Arabidopsis thaliana: one gene and its partners. The protein of the gene in region 3 purifies or fractionates together with the protein of the main gene of each other region. This does not show direct contact. Each region holds a gene or a part of one and is shown on either strand. Other genes may lie near its edges.

Evidence for each region.
Region 1: the proteins of AT5G48570 (region 3) and RANBP1 fractionate together in Arabidopsis thaliana (co-fractionation; one large-scale study listed by BioGRID). This does not show direct contact.
Region 2: the proteins of AT5G48570 (region 3) and SIRANBP fractionate together in Arabidopsis thaliana (co-fractionation; one large-scale study listed by BioGRID). This does not show direct contact.

Annotation. Positions count from the first base shown.
Region 1 is NC_003076.8:23,678,462-23,685,682, reverse strand, and holds RANBP1 (RAN binding protein 1), read left to right. Parts: upstream 1-3,747; 5' UTR 3,748-3,968; coding exon 3,969-4,120; intron 4,121-4,249; coding exon 4,250-4,401; intron 4,402-4,488; coding exon 4,489-4,614; intron 4,615-5,134; coding exon 5,135-5,364; 3' UTR 5,365-5,620; downstream 5,621-7,221. Other genes in the region: PMR5 (Pmr5/Cas1p GDSL/SGNH-like acyl-esterase family protein (DUF828)), read left to right, coding at 4-365, 643-814, 897-1,075, 1,149-1,307, 1,403-1,739.
Region 2 is NC_003070.9:2,190,406-2,197,626, forward strand, and holds SIRANBP (Pleckstrin homology (PH) domain superfamily protein), read right to left. Parts: upstream 3,432-7,221; 5' UTR 3,284-3,431; coding exon 3,129-3,283; intron 3,009-3,128; coding exon 2,857-3,008; intron 2,751-2,856; coding exon 2,625-2,750; intron 2,209-2,624; coding exon 1,955-2,208; 3' UTR 1,274-1,954; downstream 1-1,273. Other genes in the region: AT1G07135 (glycine-rich protein), read right to left, coding at 1-219; MAPKKK13 (mitogen-activated protein kinase kinase kinase 13), read right to left, coding at 3,874-5,373.
Region 3 is NC_003076.8:19,690,971-19,698,191, reverse strand, and holds the start of AT5G48570 (FKBP-type peptidyl-prolyl cis-trans isomerase family protein), read left to right. Parts: upstream 1-4,346; 5' UTR 4,347-4,535; coding exon 4,536-4,743; intron 4,744-4,822; coding exon 4,823-4,909; intron 4,910-5,132; coding exon 5,133-5,393; intron 5,394-5,501; coding exon 5,502-5,576; intron 5,577-5,645; coding exon 5,646-5,726; intron 5,727-5,809; coding exon 5,810-6,007; intron 6,008-6,096; coding exon 6,097-6,192; intron 6,193-6,294; coding exon 6,295-6,470; intron 6,471-6,554; coding exon 6,555-6,677; intron 6,678-6,754; coding exon 6,755-6,901; intron 6,902-6,989; coding exon 6,990-7,117; intron 7,118-7,190; coding exon 7,191-7,221. Other genes in the region: FKBP15-2 (FK506- and rapamycin-binding protein 15 kD-2), read left to right, coding at 888-954, 1,050-1,099, 1,365-1,427, 1,534-1,624, 1,712-1,816, 1,921-2,036; AT5G48575 (mediator of RNA polymerase II transcription subunit-like protein, putative (DUF1216)), read left to right, coding at 3,370-3,579, 3,644-3,727. UniProt on the Arabidopsis thaliana protein: PPIases accelerate the folding of proteins. It catalyzes the cis-trans isomerization of proline imidic peptide bonds in oligopeptides.

The DNA of each region.
Region 1 (7,221 bases), 4.0 Mb from region 3:
AGAATGGGTTCTCTTCTTCCTCTTCTTGGCATCTCAGTAGTCTCCGCCATTTTCTTTCTGGTTCTTCAACAACCAGAACAATCTTCTTCAGCCATTATACTGAGCTTGAAGAAACGCCATGGAAGCTCCTCTGGTAGTAGTGGTAACCAGTACAGTTCAAGCAGACCATCAGCTGGTTTCCAAGGGAACAGGAGCACGTGCTCTCTCTTCCTCGGCACGTGGGTTCGTGATAACTCTTATCCTCTCTATAAACCGGCGGATTGTCCCGGCGTCGTTGAGCCTGAGTTCGATTGTCAGATGTACGGTCGTCCTGACTCTGACTACCTCAAGTATCGATGGCAACCTCAGAATTGCAATTTACCCACGTATGTACACATACTCATCTTCTTCTTCTTTCTTTTTTGTCATAAAGTTTTCTAATTTTCGTGGTTAAATCTTTGAGTTTTCTGGTAATAGTGTATACCTGTGTCGTTATTGGTAATGAGGTTCGATTTCGTCAGAATTTTACTGAGCTAAGTTGTCAAAATGTATTCTTTTGGCAAACCCATTTGAAAGAATTCTACTTTAAGATATTACGACTGCTCAAAATCAGAGATTCTGTGGTTTTAGTGTTTGATTTCTGGTCTTTCACAAATGGATTAGGTTCAATGGTGCTCAGTTTCTGTTGAAAATGAAGGGCAAAACCATAATGTTTGCGGGTGATTCATTGGGGAAGAATCAATGGGAGTCTTTGATCTGCCTTATTGTTTCATCTGCACCGTCCACTCGGACAGAAATGACCAGAGGCTTGCCTCTCTCCACCTTCAGATTCTTGGTAATGCTTTCTTCTTATTCTTCAATGGCTCACATCTTGTTTTTCAGGTTCTTCTATAAGAAAACTGTTTTTTGATGTATAGGATTATGGGATAACAATGTCATTTTACAAAGCTCCGTTCTTGGTGGACATAGATGCTGTTCAAGGCAAGCGTGTGTTGAAGCTGGATGAGATCTCTGGTAATGCCAATGCTTGGCATGACGCTGATCTCCTCATCTTCAACACTGGTCACTGGTGGAGCCACACCGGATCTATGCAAGGGTAAGTTACCACACTTCCAATGACTTGATTTTCTAGTGTGAAAGTTTCTTTATATATCTTCTTGTGAACACAGATGGGACTTGATTCAATCAGGCAATTCTTATTACCAAGACATGGACCGTTTTGTGGCAATGGAGAAAGCACTTCGTACTTGGGCGTATTGGGTCGAAACTCACGTTGATAGATCCCGAACACAAGTCTTGTTCCTCTCCATTTCTCCAACACACGACAAGTAACTCAGCCTCTCTTGTTATATTGGATCATATTTTCTGATGTTTTTGAAATGAATGTCCTGACACCATTTGTATACATTTTGGGATTGATCAGCCCGAGTGACTGGGCGGCATCATCGTCTTCAGGATCCAAGAACTGCTACGGAGAAACAGAACCGATCACAGGAACAGCTTATCCAGTGAGCTCCTACACAGATCAGCTAAGATCAGTGATTGTTGAAGTGCTTCACGGGATGCACAATCCGGCGTTTCTTCTCGACATAACACTCCTCTCTTCCCTAAGAAAAGACGGTCATCCGTCAGTATACAGCGGCCTCATTAGCGGTTCACAAAGGTCTAGACCAGACCAGTCTGCAGATTGTAGCCATTGGTGTTTGCCTGGTTTACCTGATACATGGAACCAGTTGTTGTATACGCTTCTCATCTATTAGCTTCTTTTTAAATCTCTTTCCATCAAATTATTCGGTTAGTAATATTTTAACACATTCGAAGAGAGAATCTTAAGATTAATCACGGAATCAGTCAATTGTATAAACTTTTTGAGGAAATTTTCTTTCAAATGAATTATAATTTTTATTCCATGCAAACAAAGCATAGTAACAAGAAATTTAACAATGGCAAGCCCAAAACAAACAGTATTGGGCTTTTAAAAAAATACATTCGATGGGCTTATTGGAAAAAAGCCTTTTAGGGTTTTCTCAAAACCTCTCTACTATAAATAGAGGAAATCCAACTTTAGAGTTTAAGAAGAAGCAATCCAAAATCAATTCACTGAAAAGCTTCGTTTTTAATCCTGTAGTTTTCATAGGGTTTGGTGTTCTCTCTATTGTTGTTATTGGGCTTGCCTTTTGTCTAGGATTATCATGATTTATGTTTATTGAAAGATTGGCTTCATCAGATAGTCTATGTGGATTTGTTCGTTCCCATATGATTCGTTCCCTTGAAGCAAAATCAATCGTGTTGCTTTCGTTATTTATATAATTCTCCCTATGAATCTTCGGTGATTTCGTATTTATACGATTTTTGCTGATGTTGATTTGGGAGAATCACAACTGAGCAGCTATATATTATTCGTATTGAAATCTAGATTTGGGTTTTTGTATAAGTTTTTGGAAGAACAGTGATGAGTCAGTTTACAGACCTGTAATGATTGCGGTAATGATCGCATTATTATGAACATCTAAGGGACTGAGTTCTTCTTTCTAATATGATTTAACAACTTCAATTTGTTTTTGTTGGTTAATGTTTTTTTGTTTAATCTGATAAAGAGGCTGATGAAGATTAGATATTAATGGTTACTGAAATTTCAATAAGTGTGTTGATATACTATCTTCTTGACTAGGACTGCTGAGGCTAATCTTTGAATTCTAAGGAATTATGTTTTCTCTTTTTGATTTAATGAAATTAGATTGTGGATGATGAGAACAAATATGAAAAAACAGTTATCCCTGTCTGAGGATTTTAATCCCTTTGATGATTCATTTGTAATCTGACACAACCTTCCAGTTCATATCGTTTTGGGTTTTGCTTGTTGACTATTTATTTCAGACCCTAAATTATACAAACACGAAGATTTGTCATTGAAACAACGCAGCTTCATTCAAAAACGGATTTTAAAATTGGAAATCAGACAAATGACTAAGCGGGTCCCTTTTGACTTTAGCATCAATATTCAATATTACCGTGCCAGTAATAAGAGTTCTCGAGTCCATGAAATGATGTTGTATCAGTTTTCGTTCAGCATTTCAATAAATTCACGATGTTTTGGTCAAAATATCTTACTACCTATCGACTGTTATCGGACTTCAGGTTCTACTCTTTGAGTCGTCGACAATGAAAACGTTTCTTTTTCCTACTGTAACGAGAAGGCAAACAAGTGGTATTTTGTTACGATAAAAAACAGGTCAAAAAAAAAATTTGTTAATTGAATGTTTAACACGTTTCCAAAATTTATAAATGTTCATATTCAGCTTACATTGTACTAGCATCGGCAGTAGTTGATTGAATACTAGTGTCGAGTGACATCAGCTTGATATCAAAGCATGATTGATTACATTATATAATATCCATTTGTAAATAATCCACCTCTCAAAAAAAAAAAAATTAATAAATAAATAATCCACCTCCGTTCATATATAAAGATTGTCACGGTGGTCTACCTTAACACTACAAAGGCAGTCCACGACTGAGAAAAAAAAAGCAGTTCAAATTTTTTTCGTATGTGTTAAGGATGGAGTACATTCATAGAGCATCATCTACATTCTACTCCAAGATAAATGTGGAGTATCTGTATTACTTTTAGTTTTGTAAAGAGATTATACATAATTTAAATATGGTACATTACTCATTACAGGTCTTTGAGCTGTGGCGTTCCTTAGCCATGATGTTTCATCCTCTATATTGTCGATACGAGTTCACACTTTCTAGCTTCATCTACATACCAAAATCATGAATTGTCGTATAGGGCCTTAATGGGCTTAAATGACCGAGATAATGACCTGTTAGCCCACTAGAGATAATTCAGAAGCCTAACTTTGGATATAAAGTTTAAAAACCCTGGTTCCAGTTTTTTCTTCTGGTTCTCGAAACTTCTTCTCCCAAATTGAACAACCAAAGAAGTTGCAGAGCACACACACACACTTTCAAGTTTCAATACAGAGATGGCGAGCACTGAGCCAGAGCGTGAGAACCGTGAAGATGAAACCGAAGTCAACGAAGATGAAGACACCGGAGCTCAGGTAGCTCCGATCGTTAGGCTTGAAGAGGTTGCAGTCACCACCGGCGAAGAAGATGAAGACGCCGTCCTCGATCTGTATGTTACTCGTTCCGTTAATATTCTAGTTTCCTTGCCTCTGGTTAAAGTGAGTGTTGGATTTTCGATAGAAGATGAGTGTCGGATTTTTGATAGAAGATGTATTCTTCTGGGTTTATGATTTTGTAGGAAATCGAAGATGTATCGATTCGATAAAGAAGGGAACCAATGGAAGGAGAGAGGAGCTGGAACTGTGAAGTTATTGAAGCATAAGGAAACTGGAAAAGTTCGTCTTGTTATGAGACAATCTAAAACCCTAAAGATCTGTGCCAATCACCTCAGTATGTTTGATTCTCTCTCGAAGAAGATCTTTTTTTTTTTTCTTCGAAAGGGCTAAACTTTATGTATCTTTTGTTGAAATTATGCAGTTTCGTCTGGGATGAGTGTTCAGGAACATAGTGGGAATGAAAAGTCTTGTTTATGGCACGCTACTGATTTCTCCGACGGCGAGTTGAAAGATGAGCTTTTCTGCATTCGATTTGCTTCCATTGAGAGTAAGTTTATACTTGTGAAATTCGTATACTTGTTTTTGATTGAGAGTAACGTGGGTACATTTAGTAGTATTCGATGTTTAATTTATGATAGTTGAATCAGGGAAGATGGTTTGGAAGGTATTCTTTATAAGACTCTAGTTGTGATGATTTAAGTCTCCCATGAATTGTGATTCATCAAGTCCATATAGATAGCTCAAGACTGAAATGGAATACTGCTTTTGTAGTGGCAATACTTATAATGTTGCCTCATTTTATAATTTTAGGGAGACATTGTTGTCTTGAGAATAAACATCTCAGGCCATTTTCCAAGACTCTGTTGGTCTCTGCGGTTGTGGGTCTTATCACTAAACAAATGAACAAAAGGGTTCCATGATCCTTAAGTTGTGCTAAACAACTACCATAATCGTATCTATGTTAAATTAGACGCTGACATAATCTATGAGATTAATATCCTAGGGTCTGCATCTGTCTTTTTGGTTTTAGATTCTCGAGTGGCTAACTGATAGTGTTGCATCAACAGATTGCAAAACATTTATGGAGAAGTTCACTGAAATAGCTGAAAGCCAGCAAGTAGGGAAAGAGAGCACCCAGGGCGACGAGGCTGCTGGTTTAATAGAGAATCTTTCGGTTGAGGAAAATATAAGTGAGGAGAAAGCCAAGGAAGCAGAAGAGAAAGAGCCTGCAAAGGAAGATAAAGAAACAAAAAAGGAGAAGGTAGAAGAAGAGAAGAAAACAGAGGCAAGCACTTAAGTGATCAAATTAAAATTGGTTGTTGGCATCACTAAGTGTGCTTTGCTTTATTTTAATATATTATACTTGGCACTGAACATGATGGTAGCTTCAAAAGTTTGAGTCTTTGCGCTGTGTTAGAGAAAGAGAATCTTAAGATTTTTTTTTATGTTGTTGCTGTGTAAGTGTTTGACTATTGTGTCGTCTCTTTACTGTGTCAATTTGGTTTAAGATAATAGTATTCGGCATCAAATTAGTATCCTTGCTTTCATCTTCAATCATCCGAAATGGATTTGTGGCCAGCAGGTTACACAATCTGTAATTGACATGTTTGGTGTTGCAGCAAAGGGAACAATCATGTGGTGCTTCTAAGAAGTAAAAACTAGTTAGTTAATTTTGGACCCAACAAATTTGTATGGACCCTAAACCTATAATTCGAAAGGCTCCACCACAAATAACACCATGTTTTAAGCACTTCTCTATCTCTCTTTCACCATTTAATTTCCTCTGACCATGAGCTGTTCCTGCATTGAATATCAGATTTTATCTTTTATGCCTCATTTCTAAGTACCCTTGTATGTGTTTTTCTAAACGTTTATCTTCACAATAGCACTAGTAAGTGGATGTATGATAATTGATACTTTGATGTATGTGCCAACTATTTCTTACATACAATTGTACATTGTAGGCTACAATTTGTAGCACAACTATATTATTACTATTTACTAGAAATGGCGAAAAAAACAAACAATACCGAACATCAAAGTCGAAACTAAACTTTTATAATAAATCATATTTTTTAAAAATCATATTTTAGTTAATTATATGCAAGAATACTTATATTTATATGATTATACGATTATATCCAAACCAAAACCAAAATAAAATGTGGTTTTCTAACTCCGACTCATTTCTCAAAAGTGAAAAGAACCCAAAATGCTTAAACCAAACCAAATCAAGGAACTGAACGCATAAAGCTAAGAGTTACAACATGACCAACAAGGAACAAAAGAAAATAGGTCAAAAAGAAGTAAAGAAGGCTAAATGCTTGGAAGTTGGAAAAATAAAGGCCCAAAATAAGGAGTAGTGTTGTGGTGTTGGCAACTGCAATTGCAATCCTTATTTTATGGGAAGAAGAGTCACTTTTGGTCAATAAAGTTCTTATTATAGACTCCAAATCTCTCCCCCCCCCCCCCCCTCACCTATCTACATTTATATCTTTCTTATTATTTCCATGACTGCCATTTTCATGGAAAGTCATTTTCTCGCACCTGTTTGACAAACAATTATTATACCACTCAAGTACAATACCTGCACTTCTATGTGAATAATGCAAAAATATAAGAAAACTCTTAAATGACCCTTAAGCTAATCGAAATTTAGGAAGCATTATTCTTTTATTCTTTAGTACTATAGTCTATAATATTGAGAAGTGAAAAAAATTATCATTTTAGAGAATCATGGGGATTTGTTCCCTCCGTCGCCTTGACGAGTCACTTAGTTTTGAAGATTTACCATCAAAGACCCTCCTCGGCTCCTCGTGGTTAGGTCCTGCGCACATCGAATATATATGTCGCAGGTATAGATGATATGATACTATAATATATGCTTTTTAAGAAAAACGAATAAAAGTAGTAGTATAAGATTTGATTAATAGAGAAACGTGTAAAGAGGTTTTGATGAAAAAATTGCATAGCGTTCCTCGTCTTCTACTTTTGCTTTATGTTCACGTAAAATCTTCCGATCTCTCACCCTACTTGCCTTCTTTTCTAAGCTAACTTTCATGTGACATCCATTACCTACTTCTCTTGTATTATTACCCATTTCTGATTCTCATTTGTTTATATAGTTCTTCATCTTACTAATGACAATTTAGGA
Region 2 (7,221 bases), on a different chromosome or scaffold from region 3:
GCGTCCTCCACCTCCTCCACCTCCTCCTTTTTTGATAACGACAGCTAATTCCCGAGCCTTTCCTTCAAACACAACAACGTCTGGCTTTGAAACACTAAAAGGGAGAGTCTCGTGGTTTGTATCGACTGAGGAAGGTCGTGAGCTCACGGAAGGAAGATTGTGCTGAAGATGAAAGATGAAGAGAATGTACAAAACCAACCATGTTCTTCTCAAACCCATTTTCTTTATCTTTTCTCTTGTTTTGTCTGTATTATATCTCACTTTCCCCTTTGATCTATTTATATAAGCCTCAGAAAGAAATTAAACGCGGCAAAAGTGGTTGCCAGCAGTTTCGACGTAGTCTCTCATTATGATGCTGCCACGAAAATATCCAAAAAAGATTTATTTCTTTTTTAAAAAAAGAAATATCCAATAAAGATTTATTATACTTATCCATATTTATATTTATTGACCTTTGTTTTAAACAATATAGATTTTATGAAGGAGCACACAAACTAAAAAAAAAGTAAGGTTAATTAGGAGATAAGTGTTTCCAGATGTCGTGGATGGAAAAGAATTAATCCATCTAAATTCATTTCTGGTATCATGTTAATGAAAAATCAGTTAGATAGCAAATAGAATAAAAATGAAGGAAATAAATAGCATGATTATAAAAAGGTTTGGCCGCGTGTACAAGTTGACTGTCAGGGTCAATTTTGGGTTATAGAGCAAAGAAAAGTGGACCATATTGATGACAACTTTCACATGTCTACCATTCTTGATTTTCAGAATTTGAATCTTTTGATATGTTATATTCCCTAAATATTTATCAGGAAATATCTTATTACAAAACCTGATATTTTCTGTCAATTTGTTTTTTTTTTTGTAAATTATTTTTTAAATAGCACACAAATATTAATGTGTTTAAAGTTAGAACTCAAACCAATTTATTGCGATTTTCTTAAAGAAGTTTAGATAATAAGACCTAAAGTGAAAACAGAAACTATTTTCTTCTTTTTAGGGTTTACATATATTAAATTATAAGTAACCTGTCATCTTTTTAGTGAATAATCAATTTTTTTTTCCATAAAAAAATCTTACAAAAAAAAAAAGTTGACATATTTGAATTTATCCAATTAAGGGGGTATAATTCAATCAAATTAAAATTTAAAATCCAAATTTAATAAAGTTTGAAATCCAAGCAATTCATTGTTATGTTTAAATATGGTGTTATAGGAATGGTTTATATGTTTGTATTATTCCAAATTTATTTTAAAAGTGTTATAAATTTAATAAAATCTTAACCTAAGCATAATCCATTGTTATTCATTCACATATGGTCTTACTGGATATGATTTATATAAATCATGCTTTGGTAATTTTAGCACAGTATAGTACAATGTCATTTTTTTTCCGTGAACAGTTCGTTATAACTGAAGAATTTTATGAATACTGTTAATATACATTTTGGATCTTTATCAGGGTCAAGACTAGCATCGACTAACACAAGAGAGCAAAGTAGATTGGCAATTACCTTTTTTTTGTCAAACAATTGGCAATTACCTTAAGATTAAAAAATCACATGCATTAAATTTTGAAAAAAAAAAAATGGAGACTTCTGATTCTTGTCCATGGACAAACACATTTGTATCCTCAAAATAAGACCATCCAAAAAGGATCCATGAGAAAACTTAAAACAATGAAACCAATGTACTCTTTCAGATAACCAACATGAAAAAATATTTCACCCAAATCTCTCATATCACCCGACACTTTAGACTCAAAAACTATTAGACCCATAACGACTCAGCATTCAGTAAAACCCGACCCCAAGCGATCCCCCAACCACTTGATATGACTCGACAAAACATGTATAGATAGATAGTGCCAAGACAATGGTAGACTCATGATGCATCAAAACATTTCGAGGCTTAATTACCTCGCCAGGATTTGGCAACTTAAATGATGACGCTTCTTATGTTGAGGGACCACTTTCTTCTGTTTTCTTTGCTTCACCAGATTTCTCTGCCTCGCTCTCTTTCTTTTCTTCTGCTTTCACTTCAGTCTTTGCCGTCTCCACAGCTTTCGCTTCGGTTTTCTCCTCCGTTTTTGTCTCTTCCACAGTCAATTTCTCAAGAAGGCCAGCAGTGTCAGCGGCATCTTTGCTCTCTTCTTTCTCTTCTTCAGACTCAGCAACTTCCTTGAACTTTTGCATAAATGTTTTGCAATCTGACAAGGAAAATAAGATTTGATTACCCACAAGCATCTCTACTTTTCCCGGTTAATATGATCAACAGCTCAGAAACTACTGATAATATTTACCCAAAATAAAAAAAGAAACAGTCGACCATGTTGGCATATCAAATTAGTTGCAGCCTAAATACATACTTGACCACCTCAAGAACAATATTATCTCTTTACAATGCAATACCACAACCTAACCGCCACAGTACTTATTTTGATATTTCCTGAACCCAATAACGCATGCCTATGATGGAAGCTTTGAGAACCTCCAATTAACAAAGTAGCCATATAGCAATGCTAAGGTCAAGATCCATCAGTAATCTAATCCGTGAATCTATCAAACCAACTGAGACTAAATAAGGCAAAACACAAGCCATTACAAAATTCGGTTTCATACTCACTCTCAATAGAAGCAAATCGGATACAGAAAAGCTCATCCTTGAGTTCACCATCAGCAAAGTCACGAGCGTGCCACACACATGACTTTTCATTCCCAACGTGTTCCTGAACACTCATGCCCGATTTAACTGCAGAAATATCAGAAGCATAAGACTAGATAAGGAAACAGTAACCTAAATACAGATCCAGATGCAACTCAAAAACAACACAAAGTAGTCCAAATAGAAATTATACCGAAGTGATTAGCACAGATCTTCAAAGTTTTAGATTGCCTCATAACGAGACGAATCTTCCCAGTGTTCTTATGCTTTAAGAACTTCACAGTACCAGCTCCTCTCTCCTTCCACTGATTCGCATCCTTATCGAATCGATAAAGCTTCGATTTCCTTTAGATTCACAAACAAAAATTCAGTCAAACACACCAAAAGCTAAACCTTATAAATTCGATCAGATCCAGTTGACCTAGATCAGAAAAACTATAAACACCAATTAAGAAAAACACTTACAGATCAAGGACGGCATCTTCGTCTTCCTCGCCGGTAGTGACGGCAACCTCCTCAAGCCTAACGATCGGAGCGACCTGAGCTCCGGTGTCCTCATCCTCGTTAGCTCCGGCCTCTTCCTCGTCTCTGTGCTCGTGCTCGGGTTCGTTGGTCGCCATAGTATTTACTGAGATTTCCTCGTGGATTCAATTGGTCGCTACGGTGCGGCGTACGCGAGAGAGATAGAGAGAAGAGAATTTGGGGGTTTCGCAACACAGGAAATCGGAACGACTCATAGTTATACGGCGTTGAATTGAAGCTAACTATGGGCCGATTTCTTATGACAAAAAATATATATGGCCCATATAAACCCATTGTATCTGGGTTATTTTTAAAGCTATTTATCTCAAGGGAAATTAATCCTTTTTTAGAGAAATCTTAATGATTTATAGCATAGAGATTAGAGAAAAATCTTAAAGATCGAAAAAAGAATATGATGATATGCTTGAGCTAAACTCTATGTAACGACTTCGTTCAGTTTGATACATAATCGTACATGCATAACCTTGGTCCTTCAGGCCTAGTCGAAACAAACAACCATCTTCAACCGGTCCGGTTCCCTCTATGATTCATTTAAATGCTCCAAAATCCGAATACTTATTAGGATGAATCAAAAGTCTTCTAAAGCATAAAACCAAAGTCTCTTTTGGCCTCTTGAGTCTTCCACCAGCTTACGAACCAAAACCATTTGTCGCAATATTTTTTCACATTAAAATACAACTATTTGGCTGTAAACGAGAGTTATCAATATAAGGCAATGGCTCGTAATTAAGACACTCGATCTCATCTCACCGCGTAAAAGATAGTTTTGTCCGATCCGAATCACATGTGCAAACAAACAAAACTTGAGGCTGTGATTAAAAGACAACGTTTCGAGTTTATTGCTTTGATTATACTGATACAACAAATACATAGTGAGAACAATTTCCCTAAAGATACATGTAGTATAAACCATAATTTCCATTAATAAATGTAAAACCACCACAAATTCATATGGCAGCGCCGCCGCCGATCCCCCGTTTCCAGGCGGTAAATTCTGAGACATAGAAACGTCAATTATCGCCGAGTCACCAGCCACGTCATCGTTTGGATCCGATGATGTGTTATATTCCGATTCTACCCTTGTGGATCCCGAATATTCCATTGTTGTCCCTTCCTCTTCCGAAGCGTGGCATCTAACTTCCACCCAACCATCTGACTCCCAAATTACTCCTCCGGTCGTCGCCAAATTACAAATTATTGCCTTCGCCGCGTCTTCGAATTCTGATCTCCCTACTTCCTCTTCTTCTTCTTCTAAGTCAAACCCCGAGTTGACCCAGTCAAGTACGCAACGCGGAGATGACTCAGTCGGAGATGAGTTGTGACACTGAGAGAGAAATGGATGCTGCAAAAGCTGATCGCAACTCCACCTCTGATTCGGGTCTCGCTTCAGACACTTTTCTAGGAAATCACGGCCGATTTCCGACAACTTCGAGGGGAAAACCGGTAACTCGTCAGAGAAACTGATTCGACTCAGCGAGTCAATTCCGTGGTCTTCCCAAGCGGGTTTCCCAGTGAACATCTCGATGATCGTGCAGCCGAGAGACCAGACGTCACTCTCCGGACCTTGGTACTCTCGTCTGATCACCTCCGGAGCCATCCAAAGCGGACTTCCACGTGGCGTGATCAGAGCCCTCGGTGTGTGGATTCTGAACGCCGACCCAAAATCGGCTAACTTGACCATGGAGCTTTGGCTGACGAGGATGTTCCTCGCCTTGACGTCGCAGTGAACGAATCCTTGAGAGTGTACGTGGCGGAGAGCAGAGACAAGACACGCCGTGTAACGCTGGAGCAGAGTCTCGTCTTCGATTTTTCCTCCGGCTCTGTGACTAGCCACGTCACCGTTTGGGAGATACTCTAAGTAGAGATTCCTAAACGTCGTCGTTCCTTCTTTCGAGACTCCGTCGCCGAGAAACTTCACGATGTAAGGGTGAGGCTTTAGCGAGCGGAAGACAGATATTTCGTTCTCGAGAGACTCTGATTGAGTGGGGAGACTCGTGGCGAGATCCACGGATTTCACGGCGAAAACTTCACCGTTGGTTTTGCTGATCGCCGTACTAACTGCACCGAAACAACCTCTGCCGATACACGCACCACGAACCCAAAAAGAAGATGGTGAGGATAACATTAAAGAAGAAGAACAAGTGTTTCTGATGCTCTGTTTCTCCATGTGTGCCAACTTTCATATGTCGTACTTGTGCAACACGAAGCTATTTATATGCGTGTTTTGGAACTGCAAAACAGAAAATGTGAACGTGAAATAAAGTTGCAATTTTTTTTGTTTCTGACATGGACTATTCTTGTACACTTGTCTTTTCGATTTGTAAAGTCTCATCTTTGTAAAATTTCCCACGTGGATATGTCATGTACAACACAAACTTTCGAGTCTATCATTAGATTTTTGAACAAATTATACCATGTTCGATGGTCGGTTTGGATTTTAACAATTTTAATTATATATACATCTATTGAAATCTAGACTTAATCCTTACAAATTTTTTACTTTTATGGAATGATTAGTCGTTTTGAAAAGAGAACAAATAAATCAGAAAAAGGATCATTTTAGAAATTAGAAGAAAATGTTTTATGTCACTCCTAATGACACTTGGAGAAGTTCTTGGGATGTTTTTAAGAAACAATGCACTTGCCCTGTCTCCTTAATCCTTATCCACCAAGACTCAAGTTGCGGTTTGATCTTGTCCGCTAATATTTTACTCAGCAAAGATAAAATCACACACACCCTCTAGCTTCACGCAATCGTTTTCGTTTTTATAACCTCAACATTTAAAAAATCGTCTCTTTACTTAAGTGATCGGATCACCGATCGTGGAGAAGACAAATGAACAAAAACGTGCCTATAGATTTGGAACGCTTGATTTATTGACTTATTTCTGGTATGTTTCTATTTGGTTGACCTGAAGACATGATCAGACATGGAATATACGGTAGTCGACGTACGTACAAATCATTATCAAGGATTCATGAATCCAAACCATGTCTTAGCCAATCATAAGCAATGGACATAAATTAATTTATATTCGTCAAACAATTAACATAAAGAAGGTGAGGGTGTACAGTAACAGAATATATACGCGAAGTAGATGATATCCGAATAAATTATCGGAGTTGTCAAAGGGGTTGGAGATGAAGGAAGAGGTTGCCGAAAGGGGTTGGGTTTTAAAAATGGGGGTCCATTTGGAAACTTACGTGGCATGAAGCGGTTGGCTCACGTTCTTTGACATATTAACGAGTTGTCTGAACACACATATTGGGAATTGACGTGCTTGATCAACCTCCACGCATAGTGAAAATATTATATTAGTTTTTATTCTTTGTTTGGTTGGGATCATGAAGGAAGCACAAGAATTTACTCAAAAACGTTATCCAAAGATATCACGGAGATCGAGTTGAAGATGGAAGGTAGAAAATAAAAGATAGGGTTTTAACTTTTAATTGAGGAGATCGTTGGTTGGGAATTAATCTTGGGATGGTTAATAGCCAGATCACTACAATAGTATCTTTCTTGGGATTTATAGTGGGTTGGTAGTGGTAGAAAGATCAAAGTTTTGATAACATATCAATTTAGTGTTTTGAAACTACGATTGAAGTTTGGTCAAAGCTTGCTAATGATTTAGCTAACCATTAGAATTCGAACTTTTATGCATGCACTATAATCTTTCTTTGATCTTTGAATTATTTCAAAATACAGAAACCTTTCTTCCATTAATTCCAAAAGAAAAAAAATGCCGCCGCAACTAAATTATATATGTACTTTGTTTGTTGTTTCTCTGGCCAAGCTTTGACCTTCCGCGAACGTGAAGTGCTATTTGAACGGTCCACCACTGCTTCCATATCCTCTTAGGGCAACTAATTTCACCTTTTATATATGTGTGGGTGAATAAATTACTAGAAATGTCCAAAACATAAGATATTATTTGAAGATTTTTAGGACCCATACCATATTTTCCAATTTGCATGTCTAGGAGAATCCACTTGGAAAACAACTTAAGAAAATGAC
Region 3 (7,221 bases):
TGAAAGTCTTATTGGTTGTAATTTTCTTTGAATTTAGTCGAAATGGCTTTTGGTTTTTCATCAAGCTAGAATTTTCGAATTCAAAAATATGAAGAATCATTTTCTGAGATATAAATTAAAATTTTAGCTTAGTTAGTTAAAAATTAAAAGATTCTTCATTTGTCCCATAATATTATAAGATATTCTAAATAAAATCACAATGGTTAAAAAACCATAAATATTTTTGTTACTAGATATTTGTACCGCAGTCTATATTATTATTAAAAAAAAAAAAAAATTACACTCATCTCATCTTTTAAATAATATGTGACATACTAGAAAAAAAATTAGAATAGAATATGATAATAATAATAGAGATTAACTGTTTTTTTCTATAACTTTAAATAGTGACATAAATCTTCAAATGAGATTGTGTGAGCTTCTCATCTTTGTTTGCTTCCTCTTCTATATTAAACAAAGATATTAAACCGTGAAATTATAAAATAAAACTTTTATTTGTAAAACATTACAGCAACTTAAACTACAATTAGATGCATGCGAAACATTCTAATATAATTAAGAGATAATGTAGTTGTCTTCTTGCTCGTTAAATAACTCTTTGCATACCGGTGTAACCACCATAGTGAACACTCTTGAGTAGATTTAGAAAGAAATGAAATGAAATGAAAACTCTTACCGAAATTTTCAACTTTGCTAGTAGAAATATAAGACTCTAACGTAGTGAAATGATAAAACTCTTAAACCGAAATTTTCAACTTTGCTTGTAGAGATAAAAGATGGGCTTTTACAAAAATGCAGAACCCCACAGGCCTACCTAGGCCCAATAAGATTACCTCTATACACTGAAGAAAAGGAAAAAACTGAAGAGTGAGAACTGAGAAGCGATTATGGCGAGCAAGATGAGTCTCCGTTACTCTCTCTTTTTGATCTTCTTCTCTCTCATTTCACTCCAAGGTTCTCCATTCATCTTTCTTTCTCATTATTGAATGTGCTAAAATCATGATCTCTTTGTTTCCAATCTAATTCCTTGTAATTGGATCTGTTTATAGGTTTTGCCAAGAAGACCGGAGATGTGTCGGAATTGCAGATCGGTGTCAAGGTAATTTTTATATTTTCCGATCAGGAAATGAACGATCTCGTATACTGTTTCTAGCTATAATATTGGTTTATTCATTGTTGTTTTCTGGAATGTGAATTTGGATCTGGTTTTGATTGTGCTGTGTTCTGTTTTGGTTTGTCTTTTGACCATTTGGTTTAGTTGGAGTCTTTTGGATTTGACAAGTGTGATCTTGTCAACAAATTTGTAAGATACTTAGGGTTCTTGATTGGATTCAGAGATAATAAAGAGTTTCTTTTTTTTGCAGTTTAAGCCAAAAACATGTGAAGTTCAGGCTCACAAAGGTGATACGATCAAGGTGCACTATAGGGTAAGTTTTTGCTAGATCTTATAACAAAATTGGGATTCATTATTGTCATGAAGAAATGTTTATTGTTGTTTTTGTTGTTGTGTAACTTAGTGTTGTTATGTGGCAGGGGAAACTTACTGATGGAACTGTATTCGATTCGAGTTTTGAAAGGGGTGATCCGTTTGAGTTTAAATTAGGAAGTGGTCAGGTTATCAAAGGTAGTGACTTGCTTTTGGCTTTTGAGTATCTCTTTTCTTTTAACATTTTCTTAATTCCTTCAATGGTAATTTTCGGTTTTGTTGCAGGTTGGGATCAAGGTTTGCTAGGAGCGTGTGTAGGTGAGAAGAGGAAGTTAAAGATACCTGCTAAACTTGGATATGGAGAACAAGGCTCTCCACCTACTATCCCCGGTATAAATACGCTTCATCAATAAGCTTTTAAAATGTGTATTCATGTTTGTGAAAAAAATACGGGATTTCGACATTATAACTAAAAACAACCTTGCAAACTTCAGGTGGTGCAACACTGATCTTTGACACAGAGCTTATTGCGGTAAATGAAAAACCAGCTGGTGGTGAAGAATACGGAGGGGATGAAGATGATGAGGGATATGGAAATGACGAGCTATGATCCGGTCTCCGTTCTTTAACGATTTTGCTTCAAGAGTTCTCTGGATAATACAAAGAAACCATCTATGGGAGGGTTTTTTCTAGTCTTTTGGCTTTTAGGCGTAAAGACTGCAGATGATTGTTATGGTGATATTTAACATTTTCTTTTCATAATTGGCTCAACTTCAATTAGTTAGCCAAAGCAAATTACACAGTACGGCTTAGCGACCTCAATGGTGATCTATGCGCAGAATGAGAGGGGTCAAGAAAAATCTTAGGCAGTGTCGTCTTACAAAAAAAAAAAGACAACTACAATGGCAAAATACAAAAGTTTACCATCAATGCTTTTGTGAAACTCTTTGCTATTATTTTGACCTCAATCCACCAAATTCTCAATGGTCAGTGGATCAATGATTCTAAACATTGAACACTAAACATATCTACGAAAGCAGAACAAATAAATAAATTTCTTCAACCTTCATTTCTCACAAGATAGAATAATGGCATGAGTTCAGCTGTTGTTATGCTTCACCATTCTTTTTGTATCTGTGTCCCTTCTGGACATTGTTTCAGCTCACTTGAAGATTAAGCCATCTTTACCTCAAATTCCAGATCCGCAAACGGTGAAGGATGTAGAGCCTTGCACCGTTAAAGTAGTGATGGTCTTTGTGTCGGACCTCGAGAAAGAATGTTCTAAGACAACTAGACAAGTAAATTCAAATTTACTTCGAAATACATTCTTTTCTTGAAGGTGAAAATGTATGGCTAATGAAACATTTTATTTACTTCATCTTGCATATGTATAACAGATTAAGAAAGAAATTCAAGAAGAGAAAATGGATGTCATAAATACCTTTAAATTTATGAGAACTGAGGCGGGAAAGATTATAGGTAGCCGCAAGAAAGAGGAGAGCGAAGAATCCATGAAGCTAGCAGCTCAACATCAAAAAGAAATCAAAGAAGGGATCTTGAAATGGAGACGGTTATTACTCGGATCACAAACACAATTGTTGTAAACACAACAAACTCTTTTTCAATGGAAAGTTCTACAAGCGGAAAAGGAAGTTCTAGCGATAATAGCAAAAGCTTTGGTAGCTTCATTAGCGGAGGCGCTTTCACAGACACTACAGGTTCAGGCTCTAACTTAGGCATTCCTGTAGTTCCTGAACTACCGGTAGAAGCTTGCTAGTGCTAGTGGAAGTCCTACGAGCAATCCTTCTGGCAGTGGGGTTTCCTTTACGGACACTACTGGTGGAAGCTCCATTAGTCCTACTGAAAGTGGAAGTGCTGGATCAGCAACTCAGAAAAACGCTATAACATTGACACAAGTTGAGGCTGAGACTTCCAAAGAAGTCATGATATTCATAATAAACCTCGAAAAAAAGTGTCCACCAAAGGAGGAATACGAGGTCTTCTTTGAGAAACTCAAGGGTATAATGGCTGCACGCTCAAAGAATTCTCCCAAAAGCAAAAAAAGTTTCTTCTCTACGATCAAATATGCTGCTGGGAAACTATCTGATGACATGACATTTATGCGGTCAAGAATTGGAACCAAATCAGCAAAGGTACAAAAAAGATACGTCTCTTTCTGTTGTTACTTGCTACATGTTCTTCTAACTCACAATATAGGTGAAGCAGTCCATGGAAACTTACCAAAAAGAAGTGAAGACTATCAAAGAGTTAGAAACCATCCATAGTAGAATAGTAAGTTAGAATAAAGGCAAGAAAGATGGGTATTTGACATGCACAACGGCACAACAAACAGAGATTAAGAAGACAATCACTAAGTGGGAACAAGTCACAACCAAATTCGTTGAGACCGCTATTCAGAGCGAGACATCTACAACTTCTTCCTCTTCTCCCGGCAAGATCAAGTCAACTTGAACTCAAAGGCATAACTATACATAAACTAGTTAGCCACAAATCATAAAAAAAATTGAACCAACCATACGAAATACAGATCAATTAACTAGCTAATAATTTTAGTTTTTGTGTTTATTGTAAATAAAACCACGGCTATAGATATTTCAAAAAGATAAATCGTTTAAGTCTTTATGCTCTTTTTAATTTTTATTAGTCAAGGATGATGAATAGTAAATTGTATAAAATAAAATATTATTTGATTTAGAATAATAAAAAAAAATCTAGTCACAAAAATAATGCTTCTATAATCAAATTTTAAATTTTAAGTATTTAAAATGATTCAAAACTTGTGTGTTTTTAAAAAATTAATTTATTAATTTTAGATTAACGAGACCCGCTCAAAAGAAAAATAAAAAGTGTTCTAACAAATAAAAATAAAAATCACGCTAACAGTCAGTATCTGGAAACATCGGGACACATCTTTAGGCTCAAGGATTCAAATGAAAATCAGAAGTCTCTAGAAAAACCCCAAAACACTCTTTCTTCACTCCCCCTATAAATTCTCATCACAATTTCTCAAACCATCTCATCTCTGCCAACACACTCTCTAGAATTCTCTCGTGATTATCGATTTCACTCTCTTAAATTTGATCAGAAAATGGAAGACGATTTCGACACGCAGAACCAGTTTCCGGAAGAGGAGCCAGAGGAGATGGATATGGATCTCCCCGACAATGACGAAGCTGACTCTGCTCCTTATCTGAAAATCGGCGAGGAAATGGAGATCGGAAAATCAGGATTGAAGAAGAAACTTGTTAAGGAATGTGAAAAATGGGACACGCCTGAGAACGGTGACGAAGTTGAAGGTAATTTGAAATTGCTGAAGTCTGATCTGATGATAATATATGTGTGAATCAGGTTCTCAGATTGTGTTTTCTTTTGCAGTGCATTACACTGGAACTTTGTTAGATGGTACCAAGTTTGATTCGAGCCGTGACAGAGGAACTCCTTTCAAATTTACTCTTGGCCAAGGTACTTTTCTATTTTGCAACAATATTTGTGAGGCCTATGTATTCGGATTTGGATCGGATTTTTTCGGATTCGGATAATATTATAGGATCATATTAAGGCTGTTGTCTTCTTTGAGGCCGGTTTGTGAGAGAAGTTTTGGTTGAGAGTTTGTTTTGATCGATAGTTACTATTTAATTACGGTGTCTTTCGAGTTCTGAATTTTGTTTTGGTTTGGAATGGTCAGGACATGTCATTAAAGGATGGGACTTGGGGATCAAGACAATGAAGAAAGGTGAAAATGCTATTTTCACCATTCCTCCTGAGCTGGCATATGGTGAAACCGGTTCACCGCCGACTATACCTCCGAACGCTACTCTTCAGTTTGATGTGGAGTTGATAGCATGGAGGAGTGTTAAGGATATATGTGGTGATGGTGGTGTGTCTAAGAAAATAATTGTGGAAGGAGAAAAATGGGAGAAGCCAAAAGACCTTGATGAAGTTTACGGTGCGTGTTTTTCGTCTTCCTATGATTTTGGTTTGATTCTTTGTGCTGGAATATAGTCTTGTCGATGTTGTTGGTTCTGATTTGTTTTATGGTTTGGTACCGTGGCAGTCAAGTATGAAGCTCGGCTTGAGGATGGCACCATTGTTGGAAAGTCTGATGGTGTAGAGTTTACTGTCAAGGAGGGTTAGTATTTTTTTTTCTCAACCGGATATTATTAGCTATTCGAGGATCTAAATACTTCTCGTGTAATAGGCCATTTCTGTCCTGCGCTTTCTAAGGCTGTCAAAACCATGAAAAGAGGGGAGAAGGTTCTCCTGACTGTGAAGCCACAATGTGAGTATTTTATTTGGTGTTTGTCCTTATTTAGCGATGAATCAGTGAATTTAGATTGATGTGTGACACTCTGACTTGTACAGATGGATTTGGGGAATTTGGAAGACCAGCTTCTGATGGTCTTCAAGCTGCAATCCCACCAAATGCAACCCTTCAGATTGACCTTGAGTTGGTTTCTTGGAAGACTGTGGTGGAAGTAACTGATGACAGGAAGGTTATTAAGAAAATACTCAAGGAAGGAGAAGGATATGAGCGTCCCAATGAAGGAGCGATTGTCAAATGTTAGCATCTATCTTTAAGGGTCTTATCTGAAGACCTCCTCTACGCTATGGTTAAGCTATGTGATCTGACAACGAGTTTTTTGTTGCAGTGAAGTTGATTGGTAAACTTCAAGATGGAACAACCGTGTTTGTGAAGAAAGGTCATGAAGAAGATGAGGAGCCGTTCGAGTTCAAGATTGATGAAGGTATAATATTCATATATACAGAACTTGGAATATTGTTTCCTTTTTGTATTTGACATTTCACGGCTATGATATTAAATGACAGAGGATTGGTGATCTGTGCAGAACAAGTGATAGAAGGGCTTGAAAAAGCTGTGATGGGCATGAAGAAGGGTGAGGTAGCACTCATCACAATTTCACCGGAATATGCTTTTGGTTCCTCTGAATCAAAACAGGAGCTGGCTGTAATACCGCCAAACTCGACTGTATACTATGAGGTCGAGTTGGTATCTTTCATCAAGGTGAGAGGATTCACTTTCTGAGTGTTGTTTCTTTCTTTATGAAGAAACTTAAGTGTGCTAATGATATCGTCTCTCTTGATGCAGGAGAAAGAGTCTTGGGATATGAACACACAGGAAAGGATAGAAGCTGCAGGCAAGAAGAAAGAAGAAGGCAATGTGTTGTTCAAAGCTGGAAAATACGCAAGAGCTTCAAAGAGATACGAGAGGGTTTGGGATTTGGTCCTAGTATTTGCTAAAGAAACTTATGTTTTTGTTTAGATTTTAACATCAAGTTTTGATTGCAGGGTGTCAAATATATAGAATATGACTCAACTTTCGACGAAGAGGAGAAAAAGAAATCAAAAGATCTCAAGATTGCCTGTAACCTGAATGATGCAGCTTGCAAGCTGAAACTGAAAGATTACAAGGAAGCAGCAAAATTGTCCACAAAGGTAAAAACAAAACATTTCAGTTTCAGTAATTTTGGATATTACAATTGGAGATGAACGACTAAGTAGTGAATGAAACGAATGTGAATAGGTGTTGGAGATGGATAGTAGGAACGTGAAGGCAATGTATAGGAGAGCACATGCCTACTTGGAGACGGCGGATCTTGATCTGGCTGAGCTTGATATCAAGAAAGCTCTCGAAATCGATCCAGACAACAAGTGAGTAATTTTCTATTGGTCCTTTGTTTTTTTCGTTGCGATGTATTCTAATTTCCAACATGGGTATGCACAGGGAGGTGAAGATAGAATATAAGAAGTTGAAG